Linked DNA regions of Schizosaccharomyces pombe. Changing the gene in region 1 together with any one later gene gives a genetic interaction. Each region holds a gene or a part of one and is shown in the gene's direction. Other genes may lie near its edges.

Region 1 (3,107 bases):
TGGATCTGAGCCATCATATTCTTCTAACTCTACTCTAGCGGCATCAGCAAGAGGAATATTCAGACGATCAGCTAAACGGTAGACTTTGAGCCGTAAAGCCTTAAAATTGGGAAGCCAGCGCCTTTGCTTTGATTTTTCCTCAACACTTTCCATCCGACCTCAAGGAGAGTGGTCTGTAGTCAATGAGGAGAAAACTAAATTAAAGCCAAGAGTCAAATGCAGAGGGACGGCCCTAAACAAATGAAGATATAATTTATATAGGCTTTCTAAATGTAAGATATGTGGGGATTATGTGTTGGAAAAGGTACGGATAAGAGGATGTTACAAATACCGAGAACACAAAAATCTATCAACGATGCCCCAACCGAATAGTAAAACGATGTGCTTGTAAATAACGTGAAATGAAAAATAAAATAAAATAAAAAGATGATATAAAATGAAAATAAAAGGCGTGTACCAATATTTGATGGGATAATATGGAGACGCAACGAAAATGTAAAATAAAAAGAACGCCCTTTTTCTGAGACTAAGATAACAAAGGAAGCTTTATGTGCAGCCTCCTAGTACTAAGAAAAGAGTAAGCGTCGAAAAGAGGATTTTTCGAAAAAATTTACTTGGCGTATAATAAAAACGCTCTCAACCTATTTTTTACAGCAGAATCAAAGAATTGAAACGAATTTTGTAAAAACTGTGTTGGGTTGTGGTCAGACTTTCGCAACCCTTCAAAGTAACACCTATGCTTCGTTAAGTAACATAGAGTTGCAAAACAACTTGCTCATTCCTATCCCGTTATTCCAAAATATCAACGTCATGGTTGCATTGTTTTCTTTTGAAGTAGCAAAATCCGTTTACTTACTAACTGCTAAATACTTACGCGTTCCCATTGAACCAAGAGTTTTAGGACAAGAAAAGGTTTGCACTATTGGCGCACTCTTTACAGCCGAAAACATTACATTCGGCTTGAATTTTTCGATTTTATTTTGTATAATGCAGATGAATGTAGATGGTTTAAACGCCATAAGAAACTGTATATACGTTCTCGTTAACTGACCGATAGCGGTAATGTAGTGGCGCAGACGTGGCTGCCGTTGCAAATCGGTAAAAGAACAGTAGTATTCATTTGCTAAATAGCAAGCAAATTGTTGCTTAGAGCATAGTAATAGATTATTACGGTTGTTATTAGTGAACTTGCTTCACTTAAGATTAGCGCATGGCTAGTTAAATGATAGTGGGTGCGAGTTTTACGTGACTGAATGCTCTCCTATGATTTTAATGAAATCGAATTTGTTGCTATCCATCATTGTTACATTTTACTAGATCTTTTAAATTCACGGAAACATAAAATCACGTGTAGATAATTGCTGGTGGATGCGAATGTGCGGTTAAGATGAAACTGTAAACAATCCGCGAATCTAGGTTTGATCTTTTAAGATGAATTTCGAAATCAAGTCTTTAATGTACAGAGTATTTGACAATTTCAACATTATAAAATGTTACCAGCATAAACAAAACATTACCGAAACGCAAAGAGACCAACGTATAATTAGTTCCAAAAAGTAAACAAAGAGAATGTGTAGGCCGAATGAAATTGGTGCTCAGTGCATCAACAAATGGTCGCCCTAATACATCCGTATGTTGAGACAAACCCAATTTGGAGAAACAACAATGGACCTTTATCCGTTAAAACATGGTAACAAATAAAAATTAAATGGCGACTAATGTAGCGTTCACGTGACTCTCAATGAAAAGCGCGAAAATTATTCAGTCAAACCGTGACTATTCAAGCCACTCTTTTCCCAGTTGTCGCGGTGACTTGTCCATCTAGTACTGGCTGTGCAGTTCCTTCTCGGGAAAAGAGAGTTGCTAACATATGGGTTCAATAAATCAATGAAATTTATTAGAAAACTGTCATTTCACACTGGCAATAAAAAAATTGTGACGATAAGCAATTTTCCTAGTACTAGAGAATAATTTTCGCGACTAACGCGTAAACAATTCCAAAGGCATAACGACAATGTTTGCATACAATCACAAAACATTGCATGTATGTCTGCGTCTCATTTCGTTGAGGAATTGCTCCAACACATGGACATTTGTACCATATGCGAACTCAAATAGGGGGTTAAATATCAATCAGCAATTAAAGCTTTTGTATTTAAAAATTTGGTTCAAAGATTTTATTAGAAAATACAATGACTAATCTAGTTTGCAGCAATCGCCGTTCCAAAATTGCTTTGAGTTCTTTTATAATTCCCACCTCTGTTGACATGTAGTTAACAAACATACTCTAAACTTATAGCTTGGTTAAAGTTGCTGGATTCCAACGATACATCGTAAATGTTGAATTTAGCAACGTGCAATCCTACTTTAGGTATTATAATTATATTTCACTATATTTTGTTACACATTCGAAAGTCCCGTTAAATAGGTTACCGAATTCAATGATACCTTATACAGTTTTTGCACATTTTGACATTGTCCCGTATACTACTTATAGTATTTTAACGAAATATCGTTGTGCACAAGATAAGGAACGTGAGATAGTTGGGCTTATCAACGCAAGTCAAAGCAAACTTCGCTACAAATTTTGCGGGCTGCGCAATTAGCGCTCTTCTTACTGGTGGAAGAGTGAAAAAAAAACCGGCGCCTTTTTTTAATTGAGCGAATTCTTGACAAACGCATCCCGTTCTCTAGCAACCTAAAAATTTCTTCTTGAAGGTTTTCAATTCTCTCTTTCTAATTCCTTTTAATCTTATGTTTTAGAAAGCCTTTAGTTGTATATTTTACTTTTTTTTTTCTTTCAAAACACTGAATTTTCAGCATTCTCAAGTTTGTTGAGAATATTATACTTTGGTTTCTCGGTATCCGCGTTGCGCCAAAGGCTATTTCTTCGTCCAACCAAGTTGCTTCCTTTTTGATTTATTTCATCGAGTCTTTACACATTTATATTTGGCGGGTTTCTCACTCCTTCTGCTCACGCACCCTTGTTTTTTGGTAACATCGTTTGCTTTCAAAAGTTTTTGTTTTTAAAAGTTCTGTACATTTGCATCTCCCTTTTCCCTCGTTAAAAAAAGAGATTTATTAGTTTGAGCATTGTTTTGTACATT
Region 2 (4,302 bases), on another chromosome or scaffold:
AGTATGAGTAGATAATTCGTGAGATTAATATTTCTGTAAAAGTTAAGTTTATGTCGCATAATGTCGAGAAGCAGAACGGCAGTATAAAAGCGATACTAAACGGCGATTAGCAGTAAAAGAATATTCAACAATAATGTTAATTTTTTAATCAAGCAAATGAGAAAAAAATGAATCCAAAAATGATTAAATATAAATGCAATTATTAGCACTATCATTTTGAAACAAGTCCAAAACGACGTTGGCTACAATGACAAATATTAGAAACAGCATATTCTTGTTCAATGCTTATAGTTGGTAGTCATGAGTAGAGAATATAAATACAATGCACACGATGTAGATTTGATGTGGGTAAATGAGCAAGTAATTATTGATCGTGGAAATGAAATACGACCTATAAGCCTAAAGCATAATTGATCACTAAAAAGTGCTCTTTTATCTCCAACTTGAAGAAAAAGTAGAACAAATAAAAAGGCATCACAAGCTGCCATACAAAAACTATCAAACTTTGTTCAGCTAAATGTTTTGTGCATAACGATGATTAGGAAATTAGTGTGGAAAAGTTACAACCTTATGTACTGTTTCGGAAAGATACAGTAAAACAAACAATTCAAGAGAGATCTAAAGAGACAATCAGGTTAATGGCCTTTAATAATAAGAAATTACCGCGATGTACAACTTAAGCAGGTGTGACAAAAAGTACAAATGTACGTTCGAGCAATTAAAACTACTATTGACATATCATAAAATAATGTCAAATGTTGCAAAAAATAACAAACAAATTTGTTTTCTCGAGGTCAAGCGAAAAGATATTTACATGTATGAAAGTCGAATAATTGTGATAATAGCGAGGATTTATGAACAAAGACTACTCGAAAATACAAAACTTATTTCTCCCTAGTATATGAAGATCAAAATAACTTAAGCTAGTTGAAATGCATGCAATGTGTTAAACGTGGAATCATGAATTCGCTATGCATTTTATTGGCGTTTTCTTTTTCGTGTATCCGCGCTAGTACACTAGATTACGTTGCCTCTCACCATACATCGAATGTCCCTACTATCATCCTCCTACTTATATTTATAATCAATACGTGATCATCAGATCATTCCCTTACACGCTCCCATTTCAGATTATGCATCGTAATACTAACAAACTATTTTGTATAAGCGAAGTAATTAACTCCATTCGATGATGAGCGATCAGCTTCTGGTATTATTGTTCGCATACATATCTTGTAACATTTGTTACTCAATAGAAATTTAAGGTAACATTGATCATAAAGTAAAAGCTTGCCGTACTAAATTGTATCCGCCTAACGTTTGCGAATTTTGCAGCAAGCATTGTTTCGTATTTAAGATCACTTTTGTAGACAGATCTTGAGATAACGCGACAAATTTTGGGGCTTTTAAAGTTCGGAATTCTTTCTTCCGGATCAGAGATGTGTAGTGCGCCAGAGTAATATATGATTTAATATTCTTCCGTGTAGTACACTTTTCCATGCGAACTTCAATTTTTACAGCTTTTGTTTGAACTTTTTTTATTTTCTGCAATGTATGTCAACTATATTGGACTCTTTGCTTTCGTTCAAATTTCGTTGACGTTAGCTTATCCTCCCGGTCGTGTGGAGATTTCTGAAATATATGATTTTGAAGAATCTAGTTCGTATAAAGGACAAGATATTGATACATCCGTACTTTACACTTTGTCTAAAAGGAAACCTGCGCTCGTAAAACGAAGTACCGACGCTTCGTATGCCCCTTTCAATGTGACCTGTTCAAACGACAATCTGTTGAGGCCGGCTTCTGAAGGTTTAAATGAGGGCGAACAGAGCTATATCAACAAACGTATTTCTAAGGTTAACAGTGAACTCCGATCATTTATTTCTAAGACAGGTTTGAATGTTGACTTGGATAAGGTGGTTAACAGCTCGGATGGTCCACGTTTAGGAATTGCATTCTCAGGTGGTGGGTTACGGGCGATGGTTAATGGAGGTGGTGCATTCAATGCTTTTGACTCAAGATTCGAGAGTGACTCTCCACTTTCTGGTCTGCTGCAATCCGCGATGTATATCAGCGGTCTTTCTGGTGGTTCATGGCTTGTTGGATCAGTGGCTATTAATAATTTTACGAATATAACATACTTACGTGATAATGTCTGGAATTTGGAACATAGCGTTTTTGCTCCTCATGGGGATAATGTCATTGAAAATTTGAATTATTATAATGACTTGCGCAAAGAAATTGATCAAAAGAAACATGCGGGCTTTGACTGTTCTTTGACGGATTTATGGGGACGTGCTTTGTCCCGTAAACTTGTTGATGCTGAAAGGGGAGGACCAGGCATTACATATTCCAGTATGAGAAATCAAAGCTGGTTTCAAAATGCTGATTATCCTTATCCCATCATCGTTGCGGATAGCCGATTAGAAGAAGAAACGGCCATCCCTGCCAATACCAGTATCTTTGAGTTCACGGCGTATGAATTTGGTACATGGGACAATGGAATTAAAGCATTCATTCCAATGGAATATGTGGGAACTCACTTGTTGGATGGGGTTCCACCCGATAAGTCTTGCATTCATAACTATGATAATGCAGGTTTTGTTATGGGCACTTCAGCTACTTTATTCAACTCTTTTCTTCTTGACTGGAATGAAAATGTCAAAAAGAATGATACCTATTACGATATTCTTCATGCGATTCTTGAAGATCTTTCTAAGCATCAAGATGATATTGCTCCTTATCCCAATCCTTACCAAAATTATACTACTTCCAATACCTCTGTAGTGAATGCGTTCGAACCGTATGATACTATTGATCTAGTTGATGGTGGTGAGGATAGGGAAAACATTCCCCTTTGGCCTTTGTTACACCCACAACGATTTGTGGACGTTGTATTTGCGATTGATTCGACTTATAATGATCCTTATGGTTGGCCCCTTGGATCTTCCATTGTTGCTACATATGAGAGAGTTGTAACCTTTAATGCGAACAAGAGTGTTGATGTGCGTGGATTTCCATATATTCCGGACGAAAACACTATTATCTCTTTGGGACTAAACACTCGTCCTACGTTTTTTGGATGTGACGGTAAAAATACTACAGCAGGAAATCATGATGTAGACAATAATACCCCACCTCTCCTTGTATACTTTCCAAATTACCCTTGGACTTATTATTCCAATATATCGACATTTACTATGAGCATGGACGACAAGATGGCTAATGGAATTCTTGAGAATGCATTTATGTCGACTACGCAAAACAATAATGAATCTTTTGCAGTTTGCTTAGCATGCGCTATAATTCAACGCTCTTTGGAACGCAAGAAATTGAGTACTCCTACCCAGTGCTCTTCTTGTTTCCAAGAATACTGTTGGGACGGAACTCTTGCAACTAGTACGGCTTCTGTATATGATCCTACCGTAATGTCTGCTGCGACAACATCTCGTGCACCGTCAGGCACAACCTCGGGTACAGCCTCTAGTACAACATCTTCATCTGTATGTTCTCAAAAATTCACGTTGATTAAACTATTTTTTTTTTCATCGCTAACTTTTGTTCTAGGTAGCATCAGCCACTCCCACTCATAAACATTGGTGGGACTCGATTTTCGAAGCGAAAGAAAATCCGTAAAAAGATTCCATTGATGTTGTTTCAATGGATTCTCAGGCATGTGAGAAATTTAGAATAGATAGATTTACCTTTATTGTACTTGGTTACGAATTCGTTATGAAAGAGAACTAAGGATTTTCCTCATTCGTGAGACTGCTCAGTTAAACCCTTTACGTTTGATGGAGCTATGTAAACGGGTAAATGAATAATTTGTTATCTCTAAACTTTTTTAGATAAATGCAACCGGTCGAATGGATGAACAGGCTTAGTTGGCTCAATCTGAGATCGATGTGCATTCACGTAAAGACACGAAACGAAAGAATGTAAGCATGAAAACGATTAAATACAACATTGCTTTAAATTGATATATACGTACAATTGGGAATCACAAGTTGAATGAAAAATAGTCCAAGATCGTTGTGCTAATGATGAACATTAAATGATAGATTGTTTTAAAAGCTCCCGGTTTTTTAAAAAATAGATAATAATAAAATTGACTACAAACATTTAAAAGTAAGACAGAGACTTGTTAATTCAATATATGAGGAGTCACTACTAAATATTTTACTGTATTTTGAAACTTCCTAAAGGAAGGAAACTAAATAAATGCTGAAAGATTTATCAACAGTTTGGTACAAAAAACAGTAAAAGAGGAATATTCAATTGGTAGAACGAAATCGTTTAAAG

What was found.
Region 2: mutations in SPOM_SPAC24B11.14 (region 1) and SPOM_SPBC1348.10C together harm fitness more than expected from each alone (negative genetic interaction), as found in Schizosaccharomyces pombe (one large-scale study listed by BioGRID).

The regions. Positions count from the first base shown.
Region 1 is NC_003424.3:228,531-231,637, forward strand, and holds SPOM_SPAC24B11.14 (uncharacterized protein), read left to right. Parts: upstream 1-2,014; coding exon 2,015-2,151; exon of another isoform or gene 2,152-2,212; coding exon 2,213-2,269; exon of another isoform or gene 2,270-2,299; coding exon 2,300-2,606; downstream 2,607-3,107. Other genes in the region: dnf2 (phospholipid-transporting ATPase), read right to left, coding at 1-153.
Region 2 is NC_003423.3:25,621-29,922, reverse strand, and holds SPOM_SPBC1348.10C (phospholipase), read left to right. Parts: upstream 1-1,550; coding exon 1,551-3,503; intron 3,504-3,567; coding exon 3,568-3,636; 3' UTR 3,637-3,768; downstream 3,769-4,302. Other genes in the region: SPOM_SPBC1348.09 (dehydrogenase), read right to left, coding at 4,297-4,302. UniProt on the Schizosaccharomyces pombe protein: Catalyzes the release of fatty acids from lysophospholipids.